4 linked regions of the Rhinolophus ferrumequinum genome follow. The protein of the gene in region 4 interacts with the protein of the main gene of each other region in a pairwise test. Links are inferred from orthologs where the notes say so. Each region holds a gene or a part of one and is shown on either strand. Other genes may lie near its edges.

The links.
Region 1: the proteins of WAC (region 4) and TRAF3IP1 interact in a two-hybrid assay, tested with the Homo sapiens proteins (2 studies listed by BioGRID and IntAct). The link is inferred for Rhinolophus ferrumequinum from reciprocal best matches to the Homo sapiens genes WAC and TRAF3IP1.
Region 2: the proteins of WAC (region 4) and NFE2L2 interact in a two-hybrid assay, tested with the Homo sapiens proteins (2 studies listed by BioGRID and IntAct). The two-hybrid records come from large-scale screens. The link is inferred for Rhinolophus ferrumequinum from reciprocal best matches to the Homo sapiens genes WAC and NFE2L2.
Region 3: the proteins of WAC (region 4) and DYDC1 interact in binary tests that used the Homo sapiens proteins (3 or more experiments, as listed by UniProt). The two-hybrid records come from large-scale screens. The link is inferred for Rhinolophus ferrumequinum from reciprocal best matches to the Homo sapiens genes WAC and DYDC1.

What each region holds. Positions count from the first base shown.
Region 1 is NC_046291.1:2,181,411-2,189,327, forward strand, and holds the start of TRAF3IP1 (TRAF3-interacting protein 1), read right to left. Parts: upstream 3,008-7,917; 5' UTR 2,904-3,007; coding exon 2,781-2,903; intron 1-2,780.
Region 2 is NC_046291.1:48,397,577-48,405,263, forward strand, and holds the start of NFE2L2 (nuclear factor erythroid 2-related factor 2), read left to right. Parts: upstream 1-4,682; 5' UTR 4,683-5,242; coding exon 5,243-5,287; intron 5,288-5,609; exon of another isoform or gene 5,610-5,632; intron 5,633-5,855; exon of another isoform or gene 5,856-6,448; intron 6,449-7,687.
Region 3 is NC_046299.1:56,289,584-56,297,394, forward strand, and holds the start of DYDC1 (DPY30 domain-containing protein 1), read right to left. Parts: upstream 3,013-7,811; 5' UTR 2,630-3,012; intron 1-2,629. UniProt on the Homo sapiens protein: Functions as part of axonemal radial spoke complexes that play an important part in the motility of sperm and cilia. Plays a crucial role during acrosome biogenesis.
Region 4 is NC_046288.1:908,627-915,781, reverse strand, and holds the start of WAC (WW domain-containing adapter protein with coiled-coil), read right to left. Parts: upstream 3,014-7,155; 5' UTR 2,588-3,013; coding exon 2,547-2,587; intron 2,349-2,546; exon of another isoform or gene 2,266-2,348; intron 2,171-2,265; coding exon 2,134-2,170; intron 617-2,133; coding exon 403-616; intron 1-402.

The sequences.
Region 1 (7,917 bases), on a different chromosome or scaffold from region 4:
CCTGCGCCAGGCGGGACCCAGCCGGCTGTGGGGACAGGTAGACGCTACAAAGATTTGCAGAGCACTAAGAGAGCACACGATCCATCCCGAATCCAAACTCAGGAGGGCGAGGGGTGTCAGGGAGCATCCCAGAAGAAATCATATATAAACTGAGAGCAGAGGCTTCAGGAGAAGAGTTGGGGGAGGGGGTACCGAGGAAGAGCGTGCCAGGCCAAACAGCCCCCGAAAGGTCCAGGGCCAAGAGGGTCCTGTTCAAGGGGTCATAAGGCGTTTGGGGCAGGAGGAACCGGCCAGAGTCAGGCGGGGGCCTCACCCAGAAGGCCTTCGAAGCCATTCAGGAATACGGACTTAGCCTAAGGACCACACGAGGCCCTGAGACGTTCGAGAGCAGGGACAGCACCTTACAAGGGCCACTCAGGCCTAGTGGAGAGAATGGATTCTGGGAAGAAAAGGAACAGCTCAGCGCGGGTTTCTGACACGGGACGGAAAGGTCTTTCTCCTCCACTGTTCCCCACGTCCTAGGACAGGGGTGCTCAGAGCCACATCGCTTCTGCTCTCTCCCCTCAGTCAACCTGGACCTCCCCATGACCCCCAAAACTAGCTTTTGGGGTGGTGATTTCCTCATTCCTCCCCACCCCCACACACAGTCAGGGTCCTGGCTTCTCTCAGACCAGAGCTTTTCAAAATGTGACAGGTCAACACAGTGGGTAGCAACAGCATTTTTGTTTTTCAAATGAAACAGAAAGAAAAGTCAGACTGCAGTGTGTGTAGCAAGGATGAGTACACCTGTATATGTGTGTGTCCTGGGTGGATACAAAGCATATGTATCACTGCCAGCCGTGTTTAAAAACGAGGACAGTCGCATGCTAATAGCAGGCTTCTCTGAGACGAAGCTACAGCAAGCTATGAACTGAGCTAGCTTTCATTCCTCATCAAACTACCTAAGAGCTGGGCTACTATTTTTAATTAATTAAGAGCTATGCTACTATTTTTCCTGAGAAGACAGGTGGAATATTAAGAGTAGCCTACACTTTATATTCCTGGCAACTTTTCCCTTGTTTCTTTCAAGGTTTTCCCAGTTCGTTGGCAGTTAAAACTGTCAGCAATAATTTTAAGTGACAAGAGATACTGATGTCACAAGACCAGTGCTTTGATTCATGAAAGAGGCAAAGTTGGTTTAGCTGTAGCTAAAATACTAAGATGGTGGCTTGAATACAACCCTCCGGGGCAGTAAAGAATTTTCATACAAGGCTCTCCACCTATTATCTGAAAATGCATTCGAATATGTCTGCCCAGAGCACACCAAGTCCCACAGGATGAGGCATGTCCCCCCACTCCCTTCCTGACTCGCTTTTCAGTGGGCTCACAGGACCAACACAGAAGATGAGAGCATGAGGCCGTGGCGGCAGCCGCTGTGCTCAGCCAGGCCCATGTCCTGGTGACTACCTGTTCCCTCCTGGGTTAGAGCACGCTACCTGCCTACCGCACAGGGCAGAGGTGACGCAGCACGCGGCCCAGCACCCACTGGGCTCCCCACACAGCCACGTCCCTTCCGCAGACACTGTCCAGAGCAGCTGGAAGTGCTGGGGACTAGCTGCAGGAGGAAGAGGCCAGGCCAGACAGCCCTTGGGATGTGGGTGGGATTCCAGAAAGTTTTCAGCACAATTGGGGTTTTTAACACAGAGGCACACATTAGAAACTAAGTTAAGATCACAGAAATGAGTAAAGCAAAGTTTGTGGAAGAGTAAAGTGTCCAGCCTATTGGAAAGAGTGAGAAATGAAGCTCGAGGACCACCGTGGAGAGAGATCAGGAGCCCCGGCAGTCTCCAAGCTCAGCCTGATTCCTAACTCCCAAGGAGTACACCCTAGTTTCCAAGTTCAATACCCACCTGAGATGCACCATAGGAACCGGCACCGCCTCCCTGAGCCAGAAGCCTTGACAGATTCCACTCAACAGTGACTGTTTGTTGTGCCCCTTCTGTGTACCGTACCCAGTGCCACCCGGGACATGCCAACAAAACAGTTACGGTCCCCGTCATTGAGGAATTCACCTTCCACTGGGGAAAAGTCAACAACCAATCTCAACTGAAGGCAGGCTGTGCCGTTTATCAGCAGATACTAACCTGCTCTTCTATAGTTTCCCTTTCCGGTTCCCCTACAACCACAGGTGTCCATTAAACATCCAATATGTGGTGACCAGTGTGCAGAGCCCTGCGGAGGAAAACCTGGAGGGGAGGGGGCGTGCTAGGCACTGAAGGAAAAGAACCACAAAACAGCTCTGGCAGGCAGAACAGAGTATGTGCTCTAACAGATACACAGGTAGGCTGGAAAGATATAATGCTCCCTGAGAGGGGCCGGGAGACTCCCCAGAAAAGGAGGTGCAGGGATGGATGAGAAGGAAGAGCAGGGGTGAGGGTGATGAACACCTCGCAGAGGCATCACCGACTTGGGCCCACGGTCACCCCTTGGGCCGCAGGCCAGGCAGGCTCCCGGGCAGGAGCTGCGCACAGCTACGTGAGGCCCGACCTTGACGCTAGCCCTGATTCGGGCCCCAGCCCACACCTGGGCCCCGACCTCGACCCGCACCAGGGCCGGGACCCCCATCTGGGCCCTGATACCGGCTCGCACCACAACCCTCATCCGCGACCCGCACCTGGGCCCCGACTCCCACCTGGGCCCTGACCCCTGGCCCTCACTCCGGCCCCGACCCTGACCCCGCCCGCGCCCTCGGTCCCGACCCGCTCCCCGCACCCGAGCCCCGACCCGGGAGCCGCACCCACCTCCGTGATGATGTCGTGCAGGTAGCGGAACGGGGGCTTGCTCAGCAGCTTCTCCGTCAGCGGCGGCCTCCGAATCACCTTCCCCAGAGCCTCCTGCGTCCGCTTCACCACCGCCGCGTTCATGGCGGCGCCGCCCGCGCTCCCGCCGGCCCGCCGAGTCCAAGCCCCGCTCTCCCGCCGCTCCGGCCCCGCCGCCGCCGCCTGCTCCTGCCCAGACGCGCCGTTCGGGTTTCCATCCCACAGTGCACCGGAGTCGGTCAGGGCGCGTGCGCGGGGCCGCGAGCGCTCGGTCGCCAGGGCGGCGCGGCCTTAGCAACGGACGCGCCGCGGCGCTCCGCCCCCTGCCCGCCTGCTGCGCGCGCACGCTGGGCGGGGGTCTGCCCTGCCCACTGCCTCGCTGCGAGTGGGCTGGTGGCGTCCTCTCCCTGGACCCTCCCAACGGCCTCGGGGAGCAGGAAGGTGCTCGCCGCGTGTTAGAGGGGACCGCCAGGGCTGGTTCACAGCGACGCCACTTCCAAGACTTGTGCTGCCTGTTTCACAGATTCCAAGGGGACCAAGTTAACTCAAACAACACGGAATAGAAAACGCCCAATCCTGTTACTTAATGCGGCTTCCTGGTGAAGTACAGCAGGAACTCGTCTTCTCTGAGATACCGTTTCTGTTCCTGTAAAGTAGGGTCAGCGTGTGCCAGCCTCCCTAACTCCCAGGGAGGTGAGAGCCAAACGGTGGCGCCAGCGCTCGTTGTGCCAGGTTGTCTGTGCTTCCGTCCCACCTGTGTTCCATCCACCCCGCACAGGTGCACTGCAGAAAGCCTTCTAGCAATCTGGAAGCGTGTGGTCTGTTCCTAGTTCTTCTAATGCATACCTTTATAGCTTCTATTTACTTTTTCTCCCCCCCACCATTTTCAATGCTCTTCATTGCTAGTGTAGATCGAAATTTCCATCTGGTGTCAGGCTCCTGTCTGAAGACCGTCCTTTATTGAATCTTTTAGCACAGGTCAGCTGGCAATGAATGCCCTCACCTTTTGTTTGTCTGAAAGTCTATATTGCACCTTCACATTTGAAAGATCGTGTCAACAACTATAGAATTCTGGTCGTTTTCTTTCATTCGGTACTTTAAAGATTTTACTCCATTCCCTTCTGGATTACAGAGTTTCTAAAGGGAAGACAGCTGTAGTTATTTTTGTTCTGTCTGTTGTGTATCTGGCTGCCTTGAAGACTTTTCTTTTCACTGTTGGTTTGCGTAAGCCTACCCATGATGTATCTAGGTGTGGAGTTTTTTTACTTAAAATTTATACTTAATTATTATTGACCTACAATAAAATTCACCCATTTTAAGTGTGCAGGCTGGTGCATTTTGGTAATTATATACAATTATGTTACCACCACCACAATCAAGACAGAAGATTCCTGCGCCCTAAAACGCTCACTTGCAGTCCATCTCTTTCCCCTATCCCAACCCAAGCAACCGCGAATCTGGTTTCTGTTATTATAATTCTGCCTTTTCTAGAGTTCCATATAAATGAAGTTGTACAGTACGTAGTCTTGTGTTTACTTGTTTCTCTTATGTTTTTGAGATTCGTCCATGTTGCTACATATATTAATGTCATTCCTTTTTATGGCTGAGTAATATTGCATAGAACACTTTGTTTATTTATTCACCAGTTGATGGACATTTGGGTTGCTTTCCATTTTTTGTTATTTATGAATAACACTACTAAGGCCATTTACATACCAGTCTGTGTGTGAACATAAGTTTTTATTTCTCTTGAATGAATACCTAGGAGTGGGATTGCTGGATTGTGTGGTAAGAGTAGGTTTAGTTTTACAAGATACTACCAGACTGTTTTCAAAGTGGCTACACCATTTTTCATCCCCACCAGCAATGGCTGGGGTTTCCAGTTGCTTCATATCCCTGTGACACCTGATATGTCAGTCTTTTAACTTTAGTCAGTCTAGTGTGTGTGTAATGGCCTCTTACTGTGATTGTAATTTGCATTTCTCTAGTGTTTGGAGCATCTTGTCATGTACGTCTTGGGCATTCATACAGGTTTGGTGACAATAGCCCATAAAGTGTCTTTCAGGCGCTTATGGAGTCACTGCTCTGTGCTGAGTAGTCTAGGTTCTGCAGATTTCAGGGGAAGTACGTACCTTCTAGAAAACAACTTCTGCTCCTGAGAACGTCAGTCTCCTGCAGCGAACAGTGTCTGGGGCTGTGTGAGCTGTGGCCACTAGACGGAGGCCAGGTGAACAGCCAGGGCTCATCCCCCTGCAGCAGTGACCACCTCACTTCCTTCCACACTTCACCGTGCAGGTGGGCTGGCGGTGGGAGAAGCCTGAGAATGACACCCATGAGGGAAGGAATTTGACAGCACTCCCTGTACAGAAGTGTCCCACGGCCCATCCATGGGAAGCGACCCTCAGAGAGCTTCCCCCTGGGTGGCCCTCAGTTATTAGCCCTGCCGCCCAGCTTCCAGGCCCAGCCCCTTGGGCGAAGCACCCCCATCCTCTGAGCCCGGCCTTGTCAAACCTTCCGGCCTCCTGGAAACCCCACACTACCCCTGGGAGCTTTTGTGTTGTCCTCCCCACCCACCACCACTTCCTTTCAGCTTGACATTATTTCCCAGGCCAGACTCACAGCTCGGCAGGACAGTCCCTGTGGCATTCGGCACGTTGGTCCCTTGGGACAGTCCAGGGTGTGGTGGACACTGCATCAGGCTCCTTCTGAGGCTCCCAGCTTCCCGCTGCTCTCCTGCGTGTCCACACACTTACCTTTGTCACTCACACATGTCCTGCTTCCCAAGAACAAACATTAATTCTCAAACAGTTCATCAAACTCCATAAAGAAGAAGGAAATCGCCTCCCACGTGCCTCATCCTGAGCATTCTGCCCACACTGAACCTAATACTTCAAATCCACACGGAGACCAGAGAACCGCGTTAGCTCCCTTCCCCCGCCGGCCCTGCCCACCTGACTGCACCTCAGCCCCCCCAAAAGTCATTTAAAAGGAGGGGCACTGTGAGACTGCGTGCTTCTCCTTGGCTGGCCTTACCCAGGAAAGTTGGCCTTGAAGCGACTCGGCCCTTAAACAACACTGTACCATTGTATAAATGTACGACAGCTCCTTAGTCCAGTCACCTACAGATGGAGTCCGTGGAATTGTAACAGCTACACGATGTCAGAGGGGCAGTAGATTGGGGGAGGGGAGTTATCACTTTGTGAGGGGTGGAAATGTCTAGTACATTGTTTTGGACACCTGAAACTAATTAAAAAAAAAAAAAAGGCTGCACCAGCTTCCTGCCCTCGGGTGTTAGGGAGAGAGGGGTAGGGCCTCCTTCTCACCTGCTGGCCAGGTGTGGCGCCTCAGGGGAGGCACCGCATCCAGTGGTGTCTGAGGACTGGAGCTGTGCTCACAGGTCTTCCCTGATCCGCTGGCGTGGCCCAGCAGGAGCCCAGAAGCTCTGTGAGGACTCCCCCCTCTGCACTCTGAACACTGGCCGGGGCGGCCTGAGTGGGGGTAGAGGGAGAACTCAGGTGTCGCTGACCCTGGCCTCTGACCCCAAGCACCTGCCTTCACAACAGACAATCCCAGCCCCTCCCCACAACGTTCACGCTGGGCAGACTCACCCTCTGGGCCCAGGCTGGTCTGTGAGCAGTGGGCAAGGTGGGTGTAGCCAGGAAGCCACCTCTGGCTCCTGAGGCCCCACTGAGGACCCCAGCCAGTGCCACACGAGGGGGGAGCCTGATTCCACAGCCTGTGGAGCTCAGGGGGCGCCCAGGCCAAGGAGGCCTTGTGGAGCCTGAGGACACAGGTCTGGTGGCTGTGGGACCAGGGGCCAGGAGAGAGGGTCTGAGAGGGTCCAGGACAAGCGAGCAGGGCCGCCCGAGGGCCTGGCTGGAGGGAGGTGGCCATGGAGTGGACACTCATCCTAGAGGTCACAACCTTCACTGCCCCTTGGTGAGGCCACACCCTCCACACAGGCCTTGGAAAGCAAGGCTGAGAAGCCGCAACTAAGGATTTCCGCTGCAAGAAAGAGACCCAGAACCGGGGCCTCAGGAGGGTGGGGGCCCCAGGCCAGCCTGGAGCCTCCAGTTCTGGGGGCGGGCGAGGCGGGGGTGGGGGTGTGTCAGGGGCTGTAGCCTGAATTACCCCTGAGCTTCTTAGCGTCATGAAAGGATTAGAGAGAAAGGCAGAGAACATAAAAAAAGAGTCATTCATAAAAAAATAATAATTGATTAAATAACTATAGAAAATCACAGCAAAGAAAGTGTTTGAAACATAAAAGCCTGGCAGGAGATGTTTTTGAAAGAAGTAATTTCTGAATGAATGAAGGACATAACAGTGACCATGACTCACCCCAGGAGAGAGCTCCACAAAGAAGGGTGGCTTCCAGACCCTACCTGCCCTCGCCTAGGAGGCAAACATCCCCAGAGACAAAGACCTGGGGGGGCTGACTGGGCCACTCAGAGCTCCACGTCTGTGAAGAGCCCAGGATGTGGGTCAGCCGGCAGGAAGGGCAGGGGAGGCAGATGCCAGGCGGGAGGAAAAGTGGCCCAGAGCCTGGAGACAGCCTCACTGGCCCTAGACGCAAGACTCGACTCCCTGACAGGCTCAGAAGGACAGGCCACAGTCTGTGAGGCCGGCCAAGTGCCATCATCAAAGCTGGGAGGTGACTGACATCATTCTATGAAACCTGAGGGGCCTGCATGCAAGGCCTTGTCTCCTCCTCTCCACGTGAGCCTAAAGAAGAAGACAAAGCCTTCTGTCCCTAAACTTGCTAAGGTTGTTTCTGCCTCAGGACCTTTGCACTTGCTGGCCCCTTTAGCTGAATAGGAACACTCTTCCCCAGATCTTAGGTTGGATCCTTGACATTATTCAGGTCTTGGCTCATATGTGACATCCTCAGAGATAGCAGAAGCAGACCACATCTGAACTCTGCAGCCTGATATCTTTATTTCCTTCAAAGTAATTGTCTATTCATGTCTACCTTTTGTTTTCGGTCTCCTCCCCCACTCCACTCATCCCCAGAAAGTGAGTTCCATAAGTAGAGAGGCCTGGTGGATTTGCTCACCCCTGAACCCCTTGTACCTAGGTACAAATAGGTACTTAGTAGCTATTTGCTGAATGTTGAATGGAT
Region 2 (7,687 bases), on a different chromosome or scaffold from region 4:
GTGTCCATGGCAGACATTGTTAATCAATCACTGAAAATTTTCTACCAAATTAGGAAGCTGCTTCTGAATTCTTCTCAGCAAAACATTGTAAACAGCACTGCCAATCAACTGGAGTTGGCAGTCAAAGTAAATCTTACTTGCCATCATTGGGTCAGAAGATCCCCAAGGGTTCTTTTAATTCTAATACCACATATTAGGCTAAAATGAAAGTCCATGGTATAGTAAATGCCAGTAAACAAATATCTTGGCAAATTTTATTTCCCTTTTTTATATGCCAGCCTCAAGAATGTTAAAGGCTTTGTTTGCAAGCCTTGCCCGTGAGGATGCTCTGCTCTTCCATCATTGCATCTTGCTTTCTGTTTGCCCCAAATGAGAAGAATTTAACTGATTTCCCCCCAAATTCTAAAAATGTGTACTAGAAAAACTTGAACAATGCAGGAAAGTACAAATAAAGTGAAAATTATCTGATATTTGACACCCGTTATCAATATTTGGTAACCAGCCTCGAAGGCATAGCTCTAGGTATACCGTGTTTCCCTGAAAATAAGACCTAGCCGGACTATCAGCTCTAAAGCCTCTTTTGGAGCAAAAATTAATATAAGACCCAGTCTTATAATAATAAGACCAGGTATAATATAATATAATATAATATAATACAATATAATAATATAAAATAATATAATATAATATTGGGTATAATATTGGGTATAATATAATATAAATAATATAATACCGGGTATTATATAATATAGTTTAAGGCCAGGTCTTATATTAAATTTTGCTCCAAAAGACACATTAGAGCTAATGGTCCGGCTAGGTCTCGTTTTCGGGAAACACGGTGTTTTTTGTGTGTCTGTGCACTCTATTTTCCCCACACAGTGATGTTATGTCTCAGCCACTTTGCACATCACTCCAATGCTGTAGTTCTTAGTCTCTACTTGATGTATTCATAAAATTCCATCTTTGTCTAGGGGCCCCTATTCCACTTTGCAAATATAGCAATAGATTAAAAGGGCAAAGGATTTTTAGACCCTTACCACAACCACACTTAAAGGTCTGATCAAATTCTCCAGGTTCCACTCTAGTAGGTACAGAATAGAAAGATTTCCAAAGCTTATGGTTAAAATTCAATTTGAAAATGAAGTGGACCCAGTAGCTTGGGAGAAAAGCTTAATACCCCCCTTACACTCCTACCCCCACTTCTGTTTTGCTTATTATTATAAAAGTAATATATGTTTATTTAGGAAAATGCAGGTTTATTTATTTAGGCAAAATGAGGAAAATAAAATCATCACTAATCAGAACAACTATGTTTACCATTTTTGAGCATATATGTTCAGTATTTTTTTCCTGTGCATATATATTTAAATAGATGTCAACACATATCATTCAGAAGCACTCTTTTAAACTTCTGGGTGTTTTTCTTTACTCATTGCACTGTGGCTCCTGCAGAGCACGTTTCTCTTATGAGCAGGAAACTACAAGCTAAAACTGGCTTTGGAGATTGATAGCTCTTTGTGTCAGTAGTTTGCATAATGAGATGTGCACACCAAGGAACCAAGGTTATGGGTGTGTTTTGAAATTAATACACTAATTGTGTTGAACACTGCTATACTGGAGTTCAGTTTATCCACTATGCACGCTGCTCCTGAAGTTCAAATTCCCTCAGCAGATATTCAGAAAGTATCTTACAAAACTGGTATAAATGAGGTTATGTCAGGGCCAGAATCTCTGTATGCATTTATTCCTCCATCTACTTAATTGCTGAAATGTCTGTGTTCCTTAAGTGTATTTTGATAAGGAGAAGATCTCACCAACATCCATCTAATGGTATGATACTGACGCATGCTGTGATGAGGTGATTTACTTTGTATGTAGCAACAAGCATATATTATAGGAAAGATACCTTCCTCATTCACAGGGAAGTCAGTTTGCTTCTGAGGGTTTGCAAAGTACTAGTCCTATATGTGCTCCCAGTAATGGTTAACAAACAAAAAGCAGCCAGGAGAAATCTTGATATTCAATACACACTGTTTTGGTTATCTATTGCTGTGAAACAAGCCACAGCAAAACTTAGTGCTTGAAAACTATTATAATCTCTCACACACAGTTCTTTATGTTCCCTAGGCTTAGCCAGGCAGGCTTCTGTGGGTCTCCTTAGAGTCTTTATATGTGGTTGCAGTCAGATAGCAGCTGGGGCTGCAGTCCTCTAGGGCTTGACTAGGTGGACTGGAAGGTCCAGAATGGTTTCTTCACTCACCCATCTGATGCCTTGGTTCATATAGCCTCTCTCTCTGCTTGGAGTCTCATCCCCCAGTGCTTTTCCCCATGGCTTCTCTCCCCATGAACATAGTCAGACTTCTTATGTGATGGCTGACTTCTAAGAGTATAAAATTAAGGAGACCTGACAGTGTGTCATTTCCAGCCTCCTTCCATAAGTTAAAGCAAATCAGAGGGCCAGCCTTGATTCAGTGTCAGGAGATTACATCGGTATCAGAAGGCTGATTCCTTAGGTGCCATCTTTAAAAACCAGCTACTTGAAATGCTCCAACTGTAAGTTGAACAAATTTACAATTTCAGCTATAATTCCAATAGAATCTCGGTATTTCCTAGCTCAAACATGGATTACAATTAAGGAGAAGTGAAAAGAAGAGTGAAGAAAACTCAAGATGGGGAAGGATTTTGAAACAGTAGGTACTTTCTTGGGCCTTACAAAGTTGGCAGCTTAGATCAAGGAAAAGAAAGTGAAATAAATTGGTCATTGCATTACCATTATCCAAACTGTGGGCTCAGAAGGCTTACTTGATGATGCTTAATTTTTATGAGAACTCTAGAGCAAAGTATTGCAATATTGACACATTTCAAGCATATACGGAGGGTTGTCTTTCCAAAGACATCAAAGAATTCAGACATCAATGTACAAGGATCAGTAGAATGTGAAACCAATTGAGGGGAAAAAATAAAGCAGTAGCTAGGAGAGCCTGGCAGTAAAAAGGGCTCCCATGGCACCAGGACAGGAGAGAAAAACCAGCATCATCTTTCCAGTTCTTCTGGAGCTTCTCAACATGTTGAATCTGTGCACCCACAGCACAATATATAAGTTTGGAAGGCAAGGCCTAACATAAAGACAATCTTGTTTCAATGTCTGCAAAGACTGGGAAACTGCTTTATGTGGCGGCTATGAGACTGGGGTTCCCTTTTCTTACGCCAAATAGCTTTTCCCTAGTGTTTATTTTTCTTAAACATGTTCAGACTCTTATCATATTGTTCTACTCCCTTTGAAAATATGTACTCTGCAGGTGCCTAAAATAATATACTCCCAGCAATTTCACTTCTGTAAAAGTAAAGGTTATTTCATTGAGTCTAAACTCAATGGCAATTTGTTGCTCAAGGAGGAAATACCAAACACTTTACAAACTCCTTGAGGGCAGCAGCCATGTTATATATGCCTTTGTTATCTCCTACCTCCTCGGCTCATTGTCTACCTTCTCCAATGTAGTAGTTTCAATACGTAACTCCAATTGTTAACAATATACTTTGCCCTTCTTTGATGCAGAAATGTCATTTCATTATATCTCTGCCTGTTTCATGTCAGGTTCATTGTAAATAATTTCTCCTGTTTGTTTTCAGTGTGCAGATTATTTTGCAGGCTTTTCACATAGCAGCTAAAAAGGTTTAATTCAAGTTGAAGAAACTTGCTTCCATTACAAGCAATTAATGTAGGCTTCACTTACCCCAAGGACTATTTGAACATATAAATTTACAGATAAATCCTGGGAGTGTCAAATTATGCAACCATGAGAAAGTAAGTTCTTTGGGCGTTGATCTGCTATAGCCAAGGGGCTGTGTGTGTGGTTTTTGAATGAAATAGTAAAACCACTGCTGGCATCACTGCTGGCATCACACCTGGTTTTGCATAATTCCAAGAAGCTAAAATCTGAAAACCAGTATTGTGAAAGAGTTATGTTAATGCGTAAGAGAAAATAATTTATCAATTCTTTTTTAAATCTTGTAAGATTTCACAGTATTCCTGTTTTCAAGAACCTGAAGTTTTCTGTGGGTAGTGATTGATTTTTAAGTAATTGTTTTTCATGTAAAACGTTAATACATTGTAAATTGAAAACATTTAAAATAACAAAGATAAAAATCATTCATGAGCCTACAACTACTACTATTTGGTGGACAACTTGGAATTCTTTTTCTAGGCACATGTTTTTACAACAGTGATCCATACTATACAAACTACTTTATAACTTTGTTTTATTTTTAAATTCATCGTGAGTACCTGAAAAGAAACTTGTCAAGATTATGGCATGTCCTAGTACTGCACAGTGTTAAAGGACGCCATCTGTGCTATCGTGTGTGTGCGTTGGTGGGAAAATGAAGCTGTTGTTGCCTCCTCTCCAACCAAAAGAGACTTCTTCGTTTGCCCTTGGCGTCCTGAGCTTAGCGAGAATGCAGGCGCGTGGGAGTAAGTGGAGGGCGTTCAGGGTGACCGCGAGCACGAGCTCCCCGCGCGGTCCACACTTCCCCTGGGCAAGTCCCGGATGGGACCGAGGGCGAGAGGGCAGCTCACGGTGCTCGGGGCCGGGTCCAAGCCTTTAGCCCCCGTCCCCCGGGCTGGCGCCACTCTCGGGCGGTGGGGTGAGATAAAGCGGGGCAAGGTTCTGCAACTCCAAATCAGGGCGGCGCAGCTCCGATACCAGCGCCTTTGCCGGGGCTCTAGGAGTGTTTGTTCCAACTGTTTAAACTGTCTCAAAGCGCCCGAACCCGAGCGACCTTCGGCAAACAACTGCTAATCTCGCGGGCGGAGAGTGTTGGCTTTATGTGCGGATAGGGTACATCGAGCGCGGGGACCCGGGAGCTAAAGCAGCCCTCCTCCCGGCACCACCCCCCCCCGCAGCCGCCCACTGGGACCCCCGCTCACGGCCCTTTCCCGCCCCAGGACCGCGAGCTTCTTGCGTCAGCCGGGGCGGGGGTGGGGGATTTTCGGCACCTCCTCCCGCGGCCAGTCAGGGAAGGAAAGGCCCGGGCTCTTGCCCCGCCTTCGGGGGGCGGGAGGCGTGTCGGGGCAGGAGCCCGGCCGGCTGTTCGGGCCGTGTCGGCGAGAAGCGAGTGCCCGAGAGCCCGCCGTCGCCGCAGCCGCTGCCGCTGTCAGTGCCGCCTGGTCCGCAGCGCGTCTCGGCAGCCAGGACAGGGCCGCCGCCGTCGGGGAGCCCCAGAGCACAGTCCCTAACTCAGCATGATGGACTTGGAGCTGCCGCCGCCAGGACTGCCGTCCCAGCAGGTGCTGCCCGGCCCTCAGGGCCCCGCTGTGGTACCAGGACGGGGCCAGGGGCGCGAGGGAGCCGCGGCCCGGCACGGACAGCCACAGCCGGCTTCTCCTCCCGTCTGTGGCCGGAGCCTGGAGTGCAGCGGCCGCGCACTGGAGTCGCTGCGCTTGCGCCGGGGCGGGGTGGGGCGGGGATCGGGAGCGGGGACCCAAGGGGCGGTGAGGGGAGTAGGGGCGCAACGGGGTGGTCAGACCGACAACTTGACTGCGGCCTCAGAAGGCGACTGGCTGGGGCTTGGGATTACGCCCGCGTGCGTGCGTGGGTGAACGGGAATCTCTAGCTGCGTCCCCGGCCACCAGGTTGGGACCCAGGAGCCCCATTAGGCCCCCCGAGTTTGAGCGGCCCCAGAGGCTGCAGGGTAGGAGGGGGCGGACGCTGGCGGTCTGAGCCGGCGCGGCCCGGCCCTTCCGGGGCCGCGCGTCTCCCCCGCCTTGGAGCCGGCAAAAATGTGCCTAGTCACGGGGCCACTCTCGGGGGAGCTGAGGTCCCCTCCGGGCTGGGACCCGGAACCCCTCCTCTGCCGCCGCTGACCCCGGCCCCACAACCTGCGCGGTCTGCGGCACTGCGTGCTCATCCTGCTGGGCCGTCTAAGGGTGTTCCTTTGCAAAATAATCTGTCTGTTCGTCGGATCACTCTCTGAGGCAGTTTGGCGAGAAAGCCCTGCCCCTAGGTGGGGGACGGAGGAGGTCCCCAAGTGCCCGGAGCGCTCGAATGCCCCGACGTGCGGCGGCCGAAGTGGGCCTCGCGCAGTTGGAAAGGTTCAGGCTCTGAGAACCCGGGATCCCCTCTCAACGCGCAGGGAAGAGTGGGTGGGGCTGAGGACCGCAACCGGACTTGTCGATTCCCGCGGGATTCCTCCCCGTGGCGCGCGCCGCGTGCGTGGCCTTGGCCTCGGTGACAGTGGCTGGTTGGTTGTCACGGCGGCCCTTGGTTGGCCCTTTCCTGCTTTATAGCGTGCAAACCTTGCCGCGCCGAGGCCAAGGGACAAGTTGGAGCTGTTGATCTGTTGCGCAATTGTTATTTTTCCCCAGGGCGGCTTTGTCTTTGGATTTAGCATTTCAGAATTGCAATTCCAAAATGTGTAAGGCAGGATATTGTGTTTTGTGCTGTCAACGGTAAGTGTAGCGAGTGTACATTAGAATTGTTATTGCTTTTAGGCTGTTACTAAGTTTTTGGCTTTCATGTATTATTTCTCCTTTGGATGCTATGTATAATTTTCCTTTTCTGTTGAGAATTTGCCTCGATTTCTTAGCATGTTGCTTCTCTTGCAAGGGCAGAGAGAGGGTGAAACACCTGTGTTACATAATACTGTGCTATAAAGTTCTTTAAATTGTTGTAAAAGTGAAAATTTTCTATTCATACTTTGTAGGGACTTTTAAAGGAGTAGATATTTATATTTCCAATGTTTTGGTAATTGGGTTCTGAGGAAAAAATATTTGGTTCAAGGAAATGTATAACTTAATAAGTACAGTAAATATGTTTATGCTCATAAACCTAATGTTTTAGACTGATCCTGAAGATGTAAAATAAGGTTTTACGTCATTAGCAATGTATTAATTATGCTGCTTTTTTTTTGAAGCTGTTTACAGTCTTGAACTTTCCCCCAGTAATAATAGGGAATGTATTCCCCTGGTTTCCACCAGTATGAAGAAGTGTGCTTTTGGATTTACGAGCTGTTCAAGAGTAATCTATATAGCCATCTATATGACAAAAGGATATAAAATGCTAGTGACCTTTAGCTTTCCTAAATTCAGGAATTGTAACCTGAAGCTCTTCATTATTTTGTTTTTCCTTTTTCTTTTTTTACTATGTAATTTAACATTTCATATGCAGAAGTGCATAAGGCATATACACTGCTTTCTCATTTAAATGGGAATTTTTTCAGTTTTGTTTGGTAAGGTAACTCCTTTTCTGTCTTTGTAATCAGACATCAATAGTATACATTTGAAGACTATGGAAAAAGAAAATGGAGTAAAATTTAGAATTAATTTCATGCCTGTGATTCATATTAAATCATTGTTTGTAGTCTAGAAAGAGTTGAACAAAGAGTGGATTCTGTACTTTGGTCAGAGAAACTCCAGGTGTGATGTGGTACTAAGATCCTGGTTTTTACCTCTGTACAGAGAAGGTGTTCATGAACAGGTCAGTAAGGAGAGCCTTAGATTCTTTCTCCAACAGGTGGAAGGAACCATTAACTCTTTTCAAGGGTGTCTTGGAGAGATAAAGTACTTTGTGTATAAGAGATGAAGTTGATCTTGGACTACACAGATAAGATTATTTTTAAAAAGAAAAATGCAACAGATCTCTCATCTCCTGAATGACTATTAACCAAAGACCAACTTGACTTTTTGGAT
Region 3 (7,811 bases), on a different chromosome or scaffold from region 4:
GATAGAAAGACAAAAACCATATGGTTTTATTTATATGTGGAATCTACAAACAAAACAAAACGAAAACAGACTCATAAAGAGATCAAACTGATGGTTGCCAGAAGGGAGGGGAGTGGGGGGATGGGTGAAAAAGGTGAAAGGAAACATAGTCAATAATACTGTGATAACTTTGTACGGTGACAAATGAGTACTAGACTTAGTGTGGTGATCACATTATAAGGTATATAAATGTTGAGTCACTACATCATACACCTGAAATTATAATATCGTATCCCAACTATGCTTCAATTTTTAAAAAATGACCTCATGAGATTCACCTGTAGACCCCAATACTGCTCTCTCTCATGCTATGGTGGTGAAGAGTACAAAATGGTATAATCTCTATGGAGAGGAATTACACAATACCTAGAAAATGACATCAATTTTGACCCATCAGTCTCACTTCTAGGATCCCTTCTTGCAAAAATCTGAAGTAGCCATACTGAAATACCACCCAAATGTTCATCATGAAGGGATTGATGAGGTACAGCAACACAATGGATAACTGTGAAGATATAAAAGAGAATGAGGAAGATCTCTAAAAGTAAAGAGTGATCTCTAGGACATAGTATGAAGGGGGAAAAAAGCAAGGTGCAAAAACTGTATATAGTATGCCATCCTTTGTACTAGCAACAGCAGTGGGGAAAGGAATATGTATGTACGAAGTCGGACAATTAAGTTCACAAACTCATCCTAGAAAAAGTGCTCTCATTGCTGAATATCACTACGGTCACCTTCGAAGTACTCCCCTTGGAAAGCTATGCACTGACACTAGAGCCTAGATCACCCTTCAAAGCAATTTTGGAACTGTTTTTCTGGAATGGCCATCAGAGCTGTTGTCCTATTACCCTTGATGTCGTGAATGTCATCAAAATGTCTTCCTTTCAATATTTCCTTTATCTTTGGGTAAAGAAAGAAGTCACTGGGGGCCAGATCAGGTGAGTAGGGAGGGTGTTCCAATACAGTTATTTGTTTACTGGCTGAAAGCTCCCTCACAGACAGTTCCGTGTGAGGTGGTACATTGTCGTGATGCAAGTATTGTTGGAGAAAAGTTCAGGTCGTTTTCGTCTTTTTCATGCAGCCTTTTCAGCACTTCCAAATTGTAAACTTGGTTAACCGTTTGTCCAGTTGGTACAAATTCATAATGAATAATCCCTCCGATATCAAAAAAGGTTAGTTTAGCAACATCATTGCAACAAGTTCGAGAATTTAATTGCCCAACCTCGTATGTGTGTATAGATAAATGGAATCATAAAAACCAAAACTCTAAAAACTGGAAAAAACAAACCTGATTCCCTAACAAGCTGGAGTTGTTGTCTTAACCACACAGAGAAAAGAATTATTACAACTGTGGTTGGAACACAATATCTTCACTGTATTTCTTCAATGGGATATACTCTAACGACAAAAATACCTACATTGATATCTGTCAATGTAAGATAAAAAAGGCTATCTTATTGCTCCTGTTGCTCCTCCAGAAAGATAATGCATGGGAAGAGGACCGTGGTCCCTAAGAGGAAAACCTCTGGCCTGACGGTAGGGCCTCACCCAGGGTTCGTCTCAGATCTATGGACCCTGCATGGTATTATCAGGGGGACCCAGTAGAGGGCTCATTACCTCGGTTGGCATGTTTCCTGTCCATGAAATGGTGATAATACCCATCTCACGAAGGTGTTGTAAGCAATGTTTTTTTTTTTTTTTTCATTTAAGAAAGCCCCCCTTCCCACAGAAACAACTGCCTCAAGCATGGATAAGTTGTTACAAGAAACAGAGAGAGGTCCCTCACCCATGCCTGGGAGAAAGCCAGCCAGCGTAGTAGGGAAGTGGTGGCGATCCAGACAAGGCGGCCAAATTCAGCAAATAAAAATACAGTATGCCCAGTTAAATTTGAATTTCAGATAAACAACTAACGACTTTGTATTATACTATACTTATACTACAAACTTATGCCTTATTTCTCTGAAATGCAAATTTAACTGGGCGTCCCGTATTTTATGTGGCAATCCTCCATTCGGGGCGGGCGCTTGGGTTCCCTTTCCCACCCGCGGTCGGCCGACGGGTGCACGCCGCCCTGCACGCCGCCCTGCACGCCGCCCTGCTCGCCGCCCTGCACGCCGCCCTGCACGCCGCCCTGCTCGCCGCCCTGCACGCCGCCCTGCACGCCGCCCTGCTCGCCGCCCTGCACGCCGCCCTGCACGCCGCCCTGCTCGCCGCCCTGCACGCCGCCCTGCACGCCGCCCTCCACGCCGCCCTGCTCGCCGCCCTGCACGCCGCCCTCCACGCCGCCCTGCTCGCCGCCCTGCACGCCGCCCTCCACGCCGCCCTGCACGCCGCCCTGCACGCCGCCCTGCACGCCGCCCTGCACGCCGCCCTCCACGCCGCCCTGCTCGCCGCCCTCCACGCCGCCCTCCACGCCTCCCTGCTCGCCGCCCTGCACGCCGCCCTGCACGCCGCCCTGCTCGCCGCCCTGCTCGCCGCCCTGCACGCCGCCCTGCTCGCCGCCCTGCTCGCCGCCCTGCACGCCGCCCACCGCGGAGGAGGAGGGAGACCGCCCCAGACGCGCCTGCGGAGCCCCCGGCGCTGAACTAACCCTCGCTGGGCTCGGGGAGCCTGGGCACCGCCTGCGCCCTACACCACGCCAAGGTCCCACGGCCCAAACCGCCTGCGCAGCCAGACCCCAGCCAACCCCTAAGACCCGGTCTCCCAAAGGGCGCCTGCGCTGTCACACGCACGCCTGGCGCACGCGCCTACCCTCAACCGGCGAGTCGTGTCCCGTCGCTAGGCAGCGAGCGCGCTTGCCTGGGGTGGGAATGAGGCGCTCGGCAAAGACAAACGCGAGCACGGGCTGGTGACCTGAGAGTGGAGGGTCGGGACGTGGGGGACGCGCAGCAGAGAGGAGGGGGCTCGAGCGCGGGTGAGCTGAGGAGCGCGGGAGCGAGGGCGAGAACGCGCGGCGGATACGAGTGGGTGCCAGGATAGGTGAGTAGAGACTTGCAACTATGAGGCTATAAGGAGGGGCCTTGAAAACAGGAGTGGAGCGGGACAGGTGGGCGCGCGCTCCCTGGGAGAGATAAGCGGGCGGCGGGGTCGCGGAGAGGAGACGCAAAGGGCTCTGTCTGTGAATGGGGGGAGACCCCTCCACAACCCCCCGGGGCCAGCGGAGACAATCACTGCAAGTTCTGTGGCCCGGTATTTTCACGACTTCACACCTTTGCACTTGCTGGTAACTTCTGCTTGGTGGCTTTTAGAACCAGCTCAGGTGCCCTCACCTCCGGGAAGCCATCCAACCTCTGCCAGGTCAGAGCCATTGCAGTTTTCCCTGGCCTGGTCTTGTGCCCAATACTCTGCTAGTATATCCCGGGAGTGTTCTGTTTTAATTCACGTGCCGGGCAGGCAGTACTGGACGGGAGATGCCTCACTGAACGCTGGAAGTGCCAGAGTGGGCACTGACTGAAGGGACCATGAGCTTGTGTGGGGACAGAGCCAGGAGTGCAGTTTCCAGGCTCTCCGCGTCACGTGGAAAGGTGCTGGCTCAGCTAGCAAATGGCCATCAACTGCGATTGGATGGCCATCAGCTGTGGCTAGTTGGCCGTCAGCTGTAACCAGTGAGCCATTGGCCACTAATATAACTGCTGTGGCTACGCTAGCAGCAAATGGAGGCTAGCAAGAGGATGGTGGCTGAGCTAGTCAGAGTGGATTGCAGTTAGCACGGTGGAGTGCAGCTAGCAAGTGGGGTTGGTTGGTTGACAGAGAAGCGGACAGCAGGTTGCAGGTCGTGTGGATCCTGTTTCCTGTGTCTCCAACCCAGCCACCAGCGAGAATATAATGGTATGACTCCCCTATCTATGGCTCTGTGGGTGTTCCTTTTTGGCCTCACCATTTCCTGTGTTCTTATGTGGGGAGCAGGACCAGAGACTCCGCCTGACACCCTGCATGACAGCTTGTCTGGGTGGGCTCACAAGCATCAGAGCCCTGGCAGATGAAGAAGTATTTACTGAGCACACACTGTGTGCCTAGCACTGGGAATAGAGTGTGAACAAAGATACTCTCCATGCTTATTGCTCTGCCTACTGTGTGCAAGGCCATGGGCAAGGGGACCCTTCAGACCCTCTGAAGAGCTCTGGGAGACTCCAAAATATAGCCCCCTCCCGCTTGGTGAGTGTGCCCGGAGTTGGTCGGGAGTGGGCTGTAAAAGTCCCCTTTGCCCCCTCCCTCTCCAGGCCTTACATTGTGGCACTGTTATTGTGGCTCTGCTGTCTTTGCATCAAGTCTTAGTAACTGTCAGATCAACATATTTCATTGAGACCATTGTTGAAAATGTGCAATTTGGAGCAGATGCTTCCTCCAGAAAGGGTGACAGCCACCCAAGGACTGGAAGTAGAGAGGCTTCCTGGGAATGCAAAATTGATAATTCGACTCTCTGGGAAGGGCAGTTCTACAATGATAAAGGCAAAGTAGACTTGTGACTTCGAATCACCTGGGGATTTTGTTAAACTGTAGACTGAATCATTAGGCCTGGTATGGACCTTGAAAATCTGCATTTCAGCAAGCCCCCAGGTGATGCAAGCCCCCAGGGGATGTAGAAGGTAGTTTATCCAAGTGCATTGGTTCAGGTGGACCACAGATTAGCAGAAAGAGACAACATATACCCCTGTCTCCAACTTCACCACTATCCCTGTGGGAGAGGAGGAAACTTTCCTCTACGCTCAGGGTTTTTTCAGCTGGTCTAATAATCAATTAGAGATGAGACAGATGAAGAGATTTTCAGTAATTAGAAGTTTTCCCTGCCCTACCGATTGGTCAAAAAATGTTATCTCTGATAATCTCTTATTATGGGCAAGGCCCCTAATTCAAGTTCTAGGTAGTTAAGTGGGAAGGGCAGAAGTTTCTCTTGAGCCCACAGGTTGCCTTCAGCTCAAAACAATCTGCGTGCCATAGAGGCACATCTTGGGGTGACTCATTCTGAATCCCTATACCCCAAACTTAGTGACTTCAAGTACACGTTTATTCTTTTAAAGTTTTTGAAGTCAGAAATCTAAAATGAGTCTTACAGCGCTAAAACCAAGTATTGGCAGGGCTCGTTCCTTCTAGAAGCTCTAGAGGAGAATCCATTTCCTCGCCTTTTCCAGCTTCTAGAGGCTACCTACATTCCTTGGCTCATGGCTCCGAATCACATCACCTTTTCTCCCTCTGTTCTGTCATCACATCTCCTTCTCTGTCTGATCTTACTGTGTCCCTCTTATAAAGACCCTTGTCATTACATTGGGCCTGCCTGGATAATTCAGATAATCTCCCTAAATCAAAATTCTTAATTGAATCACATCTGCGAAGTCCTTCCATATAGGGTAACATACATTACAAGTTCCAGGTATTAGGACTTAGACACTTTTGTGAGCCATTTTTCATCCCTGTTATACTGTGTATTTCCTTAAATGAAGGACATTTTCTTACTCATATTTCAATTACCAAAACCAGGAAATTTGACTTTGATTTAATTCTATTATGTGGTCTACAATTCATGTTCAGTTTATCCAATTTTCCTAACACTGTCCATTATGGAATTTTCTTTTTTTTTCCTGGTCCAGATCCAATCAAGGATCATGTATTGCATGCCTATTTAGGCTCCTTTAATCTGGAATGGCTCCTCCTCTTGTCTTTCATGACCTTGGCATTTTTAAGAGTACAGGTCAGTTGTATACTGTCTCTCAATTTGACTTTATTTGATGTTTCCTCAATCAGATTCAAGTTTTGCATTGGGGGCAGGAATCCACAGAAGTGTATTATGTCCCACTAAGAAGTGTATCACATCAGGAGACACACTATGTCACTTTGCCCCTTATTGGGGATGTTTACTTTGATCCTCTGGTTAAAGTTGTGGTGACCAGGTTCTATCACTGTAAAGTTTCTGTATTTCCCTTGGAAAGTAATACATAATTTGTAGGGGAGAAACTTCGAGATTATATAAATATCCTATCCCTTGTCAAATGTTGTCTGAGTTTTAGTCTTCACAGATAATTCTGGCTTGATTCAGTTATACTATGGTGGTTACAGTATGGTGATTTTTTAAAAAAAAACTCCATTATTCTTTCCACATTTATTAGTTGGCATTCTACTTTAAGAAAGAACTTACTGTATATCACATTACGAAATTATTTATTCTTATGTGGATTCATGAATTCTTATTTTACTCCAAGGAGTCCTGATTTCTCTTTTAAGTGGTGACAGCTATTTAAGGAGAAGTTCTGAATGCTTAGTGTGCTTGCTGCTTACTGAGGTGTTTTTGCTTCTAGGACTTTGCGATGGGAAGAGCTAGGAAATATATATATTTTTCTATACTCATATCTATCTATCAATCATCTATCTATCTAGCTTTCCTTCTTTAAACTGAAAAATGCCTCCGGAAAATGTTGATTGTGTCGTGGCGTGTAATTAACCCCTGGGCATTCACAAAACGTGAAAGCATTCACAGACTCTACTACAAAGGAAGTTTTTATTGAAGTTAGGGCACAGAGAGAATGCCCATGGCAGTGTCCAAAAATGATTGCTGCCACAGGTTGTCAGAAGAGAAACACCAGCGTGGTGGCGGTGGAGGTGGGGTGTGTGTCATGGGGCAGAGTCTAGAATCTGAGAGTGGGCAGCTGCTCCTAACTTCAGGTTAGCTTTTTCTTATATAGGAAAGGGGAAGTCGGTTAGGCAGGTTCGAGGGCTGACATCCTTCCTGGGGTCTGGTCTGTTTGAAGACAATGTTATCTCCGGACTGGGACGCGGCCATCGAGGCCTGGGACTTGAATGCGTCACCAGTAAAAACTGCGAGGGAGTTGTCAATTGGATTCCGGTGTCCGGGCACCTGAGGATTAAGAAATTGCCCTTTCCAGGTTGGGATTCTGTTGATTAAATGGATTAAGGAGGTATGGGTAGCCTTGAGAAAGGGAACAATCAGAGTTCTTCAGCTAATCAGTGAGGGGAGAAACAAGGAGAAAACAGCTGAATATCAGGATGGATCAAACTGCAAACAAAGTAAGTGTAATTACAGGTGGCTGGATAGTGAGCTATGCGGTAAGTTAAACTGCAAACTAGCTAAGTTTAACTACATTATTGATTCCCTAAATTTCACCCTTACAGATTGGATCTGAGACTTAATTAGTCACTTTATCATTAGCTCTTTTGGAGGTAAGATATGTAAACTTCAGGAACATGGGGTTGGTGAGGAATAGGCCAGATTTTAGGGCATTTCATATCACAATATTCCACTGTAATAGCTAATATTTATTAAGCACTTACTATATGCCAGGCTAAGTGCTTTAGATGCATTTATTATTTCCTTTAATCCTCATAATTACGAGGCACATACTTTCGTTCTTCTGTTCTCCAGATGAGAAAACCAAGGCTCACAGGAGCTGGTGACTTGCTGAAGATCACACAGCTAATTAAATGGCAGAAGCAGGAACTTGGTCTGTCTGATCCCAGAGTCTGTATTCATACTGCTGCACTACACTGCCTCTCCTCACTGTGGTCTAACGCAGGCTACACTGCCTCCAGCTCTTGAAATCTGAATAATAGTGAATCAGCTCAACCTAAAGTAGTTCCTTGCTTAAGCAGTAGAGTAGAATATGGTGTTTAGTGCTGGCAGAGCCCCGGACCAGCAGCAGCTACAATGCCCAGCATTTGCCATCCCTCTCCTCCCCAGGGCTTCTCAGTGGTCCCTTGTGAAATAAATAAGCCCATCTTATCTAGGTCACAGATGACTATAGCTCCTGACCTCACAAGAGCAC
Region 4 (7,155 bases):
TCAATAAGATGAGGCCCTTAAAAAGTAAATTTGAGCTGCAACACGGATCTCAAAATAAATTAAGCCAAATAAACTAAAACCTTTACTTGAAAAGGTGCAAGTTCCTTTCTTAGAAAAATGTCCTGAGTTTCTCTCATCATTAGTAAAGCATTTCGTAGACTATATTCATAAATGCATTCTATTATCAGTCGTTGGAGTCCATTTTTAGATGCTCAGGTCAGCATCTTATTTATACAATAACTTCTTCAGGAATCAAGTAAATTGACAGAAGTAAAATATTTTGATGACATAATTATATGGCAACATCCACACATTAGAAATGTTATTTCCACCTACTGTTTTATACAGAGCTATTATTAAAAATAAAAGTATTTTTAAAGTTTCAACAAAAAAGCTACTCACCACCATCCCTCTCTCTAACTCTGTGAATATGCACATTTTTGGCCTTACTGTGACCTGTGCCATCACTATATTTGTTTTCAGGACTATCAGATCTCCGCAACATTTTATTTGGTGGTGAAGGATCTGCGGCGTCTCGCATTTTCTCATGTCTGTGATCACCGCTACTGGGGTGACTCTTCGATGAATACTTAAGTGCCTGTAAAACATCACCCCCCCAAAGAAGAGAAAAAATTGAAACTGTAAACGTTGCTTCCTAAATTAATTTTATCACAAAATCTGGCTTTTTAACTTCATGAAGTTTTATGAATTTGTATCAATAAAATTAAAATTTCCATTTTCAATTGTGCATTTAAGGTATTCAGACAAGACCTACAAGCCTAAATTATTATAACACTCCTGATACAAATCATAATACCATGTAAAAAAAAATCGAAAAGTACAAAAATCCAGTCTATAAAGTATCTTGTAAATACATAAAACCAAACACTTTGGTGCATTAATTCCTCAATAAAGTTTTCAATAAAGTTTAACCTAAAGAAAAGTAGAAACTGAGTACTACTGTAGTCTATTTCTGCTCTACAACTGATGCAAAGACACAAATATAATGAGCTTAAGCATGTTTCTGCAAACCTACAGAAGCATCCGTTTCTCCAATCTTTTATTCAAATAAATCATTTCAAACATATCTTACCTATTCTTACAGGTGTAAAACAATTTTAAGGTATACAAAAAATGTTGGCTGATATTTCTAACGTAACATTTCTAATGTAAATGAAACTTAATGCAACCCCTTCACAATAATGGTTTAGTTTTATTCTAACACATATTTAAGACGACCACGATATACCAGTCTTTTACAATGTGTAATTATGTTTTTTAGGGGAGCAGATTCACTAGGGTTTAATCTTTGACATATCCAACTATAATGAAACTGTTTTACACATCAAGGGACCTAGGGTTTCTAACTTGAGCTTTAACTCATGCTAGCCAGTTAAAAGATCAGCTTAGAAACCTGCTCTCCTAATCACTAATAAAGTAATTAGATGCAGAAAGTATTCACTGCTAGGGTTATCTGATAATTAACCACTTAAGAGATTCGCCCCCTGAAAAGAGGCACCACCTGTATCAATTTTTTAAAACTTTACATGCAACAACTGCAATAAAAAGGAACCCAAATACCTAAAACCCTCTTACATAAGAATGAATTATCCAAGTATCCAAAGATCTCAATTCCTACAGAAGCAAATCCACTATCTTTCACTAGTAAGGCAATTATTTGCACAAAAAACAATTGAGAGGGGATAGTGGTTTACAACACACTTAAGAATTACAAATCAACTAGTTGTTTCTTCCCAGACCTTTCATCTAATTTTAATACTTTAACTTTTAGTTCCCCAATACAATAAATACGGTTCAGAAATCACCTGTCACCTCACCCTATCGATTCTTTAGACACCCAAATAATCGAGTAAGGTCTTTCCTGGCTGAGAATGATTTTTTTCTAACACAACTGACCTTCCTCCAGTCACCTGTCAAAATAAGTAACTAAACCTTGTTGGGGAGCGCTAATGGACCCAAACACAACATTTTAAGAGAACCCGTGGTGCTTGTTTCGGGTTTGTTGCACCAAAGGGCCTGCAGCGACTTCTGAAGCCTGCGCTCGAGTAGCAGCAGGTCCTCCCTTCCCCCTCCGTCCCCCATCCACCCCTCCACCCCGGTCTCGGCTGGTACCTGGTAAGGCTGCGAGTCCCCCCTCCGGTCGTGACAGCTGAAAAACAGGAAGAGAGACAGCGACATGAAACATCTCGGGGGGGGGGAAGAAAACGGGTGCCCCCCCAGCGCCCCTCCCCGCGGGGAACCTACCAAACGAAGCGGCACTGAGCCCGCACACAGACACTCGCCGCTTAAAGGCGGTAACGAGGGCGAAACGCCGCGAACCGGCCCTCCGCTCCCTCCCCACTCACTCGGGCCTCGCCTGCCCGCGCGGCCGCTCCTCCTCCCCAGCCCGATCCGGATCAGGGTTAACAACAAAAATGGCGGCTCAGCCCGCACAGATAAGGAGGAACAGCCCCCCCGCCGCCGCTGCCGCCGCCGCCGCCCCCCGCCCCCGCCGCGGCCCGGCCCGAAACGAAAAGCCAATTTACCCATCACTGAGTCTCTGCTGTTTCCTCGCATACATTACCATCAATGCCCGGCCTGTGAGTGTGTGTCGGGGGAGGGGGGAGAGTGGCCGCGAGAGGCGGGCAGGCGGGCGCGCAGGCGGCGGGCGGGCGGCAGCACCGGCACCAGGGCCCGGCGCGCCCTCGGCGACTCTCAGCACCTCCCCGTTACTGGCGCCGGCGCTCCCGGGCCATCTCCCTCCGTCCACACCACGCTCACTCTCAGTCCGGGCAGCGGCGCCAACTATACGGCGGCAGCGGCGAACCGGGGGGAGGGGGGCAAGAAGACGCGCCCGGCCCAGCCCCGCGGAGAGCGACTGCCTCCTCCGCCTTCTCCTCCTCTTGCTCCGCCGCCTCCTCCCCTCCTCCCCCCGCCGCCGCCGCTGCCTGGCCCTTCTCCTCCTCCTGCCGCCGCCGCCGCCGCTGGTGCCGCCGCTGCCGCTCCACCAACTACATCCGGGCAACTCGGAGGCTGCGGCCTTCGGCAAACCTCGGCAGTTTCCGCCGCGCCCCTCCTCTCCCACCCTCGGTCCTCCTCCCCGCCCCGCTCAGCTCCGGAACGCCGCCTTCGGCAAACCTCGGCTCGCCCCGGCCTTCCTCTTCCTCTGAGGCCTGGCTCCCGGCCTCGCGACCCGTCAGCTCTTTCCGGTTACCGCTGCTTTTCTTCACGCTCACGTCCGGCCACCGCCGTTCCAGTTTAGGGAGAGTCCTGCCTGGGAACCCGCTCGAGGCTGGTCCCAGGGGCCCCGGGGTGCGCCGGGAGGGAGCCGCCTTCGGGAGGAGGACGGTGGGGCGCGAGAGAAGCCATCTCGGACTAAATAAGGGAGGCTGCGGCTGCTGCGCGTGCGCCGAGGCGTGGGCGGGGGTGGGGTAGGGTGCCCTGGGGGGAGCGCTCCGGCCGCCGGCCCCCGCCCCTTCGGGCTCGGGCGAGGTGGTCGCAAACCTCTAGTTAGGCGACCGGGAGGCGGATGGTTACCGTGGAGCTTCCTCTGTGAGCATCAACGGAAGCTGCCCTCAGGCAGGTAGGGAGCGCGCGACTGCTCCTTTAGGCCAGCTCTCTGGAGGCGGAAGCCGGGCCTGGACACCAGCCTCAAACTGGACGCTTAAGGCGCCACCGACCTGCGACGGGCAAGGGCTGCTTGGAGCCCGCGCGGCGGCATGTTAGAAGTAAGTCACAGCTCCAGAAGCCAGCAAAGACGAATGTGAAGGATTTAGGGATACTGTGCCCAATGCGACAAGGCCTTGTGCTTGCGCAGCTCTAAGGTGGAGGTTCCTGAACCGAGCTGGGAGCGCCGCTGGGCACAGTGAATTAAAATATTGGATGAGCCCGGAGACTCAGGGGGATGGGTGACTTGGAAAAAGGGTTGGACCGCCTTATCCTTGTTTAAGATTTTCCACGCCCAGCCGTGCCCTCTCCAACCTCTCTTTATTTCCCATTTTTCGTCTAGTTCCTCTTCCTTGTTGAAGTCCTATGGTGAAAGGAAATTCATTTGGAGGTTTGGCGTGCGAATCAAGGCCTAGGTTGTGTTCAATGAAAATGCTACAAATCGAATTTTATAGACTGCTACAGGCACAATAGTAACATTGCCAGATGGGAATGGAAAAACTGTCAAGTGTATAAAAAATTAAGTTTTCCTTGAGGTTGGTGGTATTCAGATAATTATTTTTTCTGCTCCTTGCAACATTAGTAAAAAACATTTTAGTATAAAGCAAATATACAACTATTTACATAAAAGAAAGAGGCAGAATAGGAAAGAGAAGAAACAAGACTCCTCCAAAAAACTATCAAAAAAATAACTGATTTATTTGGTATCCAACAAATAACAATATTGCTGGACCTAATGAAGAGATGGAACGATGTGGGGAAAGGGCCCTGAAATCACGGTTGATTGAAAAAAATAAATTACATTAACTTTATTTATCACACCCACCAGCCACATGTTAAGATTATTGCTGTTTGTGAGGACTAGTAAATGCCTACTTAAGCTGTCGGTAACTAGAAAAGAACTTTCAGTGACTGAAATGAGAAAAAAAAAAGCCACCCAAAGTCTTATGTGTAATTTCTAACGCTTGTAACAAATACTTTGAAGACAGGAGACATCCGATTAGAAAGGTACAAAAAGTAATATATTGATCGTATGCAGAAACTTTGAAAACTGGCAGCAAAATGTGTTACTAATTTTTTATTTGATGATCAGATGTGTGCTGAAATTGATACGTATCATTTGATCAAAAGCAGCAAACTGGACTGAGCTATGGAGGAAACAGTTCCAGGCAATGTAGTCCTCATTATTCACAGATTCCATGTTCATGAGTTCGACTACTCACTAAAATTTATTTGTAACCCTGAAAATTAATGCATGCAGCATTCATGAATATTCACAGAGTAGCAAAAAAATCTAACTTGCCTGACACATTCTCAGCTGAGGTTAAACAAGGCTATCCTCAGCTTTGTTTCACCTCGCATACTATAATCAAATGCGATTTTCATAATATATATAATGTCATGTTTTTCACCTTTTTTTGTGCTGTTTATTGGTGATTGTGTTGTCTTAAGCACTACCGTCCCCTTACCCCCCAAGCAGTGCTGCAGTGCTGTCTGGTAATTCGTAAGCACAGGAAAGCTGGGATGTGCCTTGCGGAGAAAACGTGTCCTAGAAAAGCTCCCTTCAAGCTTATCATTAGTGATCTTGGCCATGAGTTCAGTGTTAATAAATCAACAATGTAAAATAAGGTATCTAAATAGAAACGCATAAAACAAGGTGATGTATTGATTGGTTGACAAAAATGTGACCAGAGTCTCTCAGGAACCTAACCCTGTGTTTCCCCTAGGAGCAGTTTAGTGTTCATCGTGACTTTATAAAACATAACTACTTCAAATAATGAGAATAGAGTTTTCCTAAAGGACACATCTATATGTTATACCCATTTTTAAAAAACTCATTGCCTACTTTAGATTCCAGTATCCGTTGTTACAAATTCTCCTTTGCAAATACCATCAATCCTTTCCTTCTCTCTTCCTGCATTTCACCTGCCTAAATCACAACCCTGGTTGATTCAGTGTATGCTTCCGTCAGAGCAGTTCAACTTGGCTGAAGAAAAATACGCAGCAGTGATAACTCTGAAGTGAACTCCTCAGTATTCTTACCCCCTCAGACTAATTTCCTTGCCCTCTGAGACAGTTATTTACTATCTTTCTTCTTGACTATACAGGCCCCCTCCTCACTCATAAGTCATTGTTTTCTTATCTAGAAAATAGGGGAAATCAGAAATCAGTAATAGCTTCTGCCTTCCACCACTGCACCTACCAACCTTCCTACATCTGAATACACTGCTATACTCCAGTAACTATGGCTAAAATGTCAAAATTAAGACCTAACTTGCCACTTTTGCCTTGAGTTCCATTTTACTCTTGTAATTGTCCACTTTCCTTATTGTTTCCCTTGCAACTGGATCACTTTGGTCAATTTATAAACATGCTTTTAAAGCATCTTTAAACAACAAAACAAAAAAACTTGACATGGAACTCCTCCAAATATTACCCCATTGCTGTGATCTGCTCTCCTCTACAGAAAATCTTCATCTCCACTTCTGCTCCTCTCTCTTGAACCTACACTCCATTGAAACTGCTCAGGAACAGCAGTAGCCTCCATATTCTTAAATCCAATTTTTATTACTCTGTCTTACTTCACCTGTCAGCAGCATTTGAAAGAACTGATAACTTAACTCTTTTCTTTCTGAAGTGCTTTATTTTACCTGCCAGGATTACACACTATTTCCCTCTTGATTTTCTTCCTTCCTAAATGGCTGTTCTTATTCTCCTTGCTGGTTCCTCCTCATTTTCCAGCCTCTAAATGCTGGAGAGCCCCAAGTTTCAAATCTCACAACTTGAACTACTTGTTCTCTCCCCCTCGGCAATCCCATTTAGATCTCTGGCTAAATGAAACCCAGAATCTCCAGCCTACACCTTTATCCTAAACACCTATCTAAAAACCTACATGTGGCTTCCCATTTCACTCAGAATAAAAGCTAAAGCTCTTACCATAGTCTACAAGGCCCTGTGTAAACTTCCCCCATCCCTATTACCTCTGGTTTCATATCCAAAGACGTTTTACTTGCTCATTTTTCCCACAACTCTATCCTCCCTTTTCCTCCAATATATCAGGCATGTCTCTGTCTCAGGACCTTTGCACTATCCTTCGGTCCAAGAGGAATACTCTTCCTCTTGGTACCTACTTAGCTCAAACTATCATTTCTTTACGATTCTGTCCAAATCTCACACTATCACAAAGGTCTTTCTCTGAGAACTATACAAATGTACCCCACCACCCTCTCACACTTATCCTGCTGTGTTTTTCTTAAACAGTTTGCTATAGAATATGTTATATATTTTTGTTTATTATCTCCTAGAATGAAAGCTCTGTGTAACATGTTAGGTAAATATTTGTTGAATGAAAGGATATTTGCCTACAAAAATATACACAAAAAAATAGCAAAATATTGTAATTCTCAAGAGGAAAAGGCTTATGGTTCTACTTCTGCTTGCTTTCTAAAAGAACAATAGGATTATAAATCCAGTCCTGCTGTCACAAAT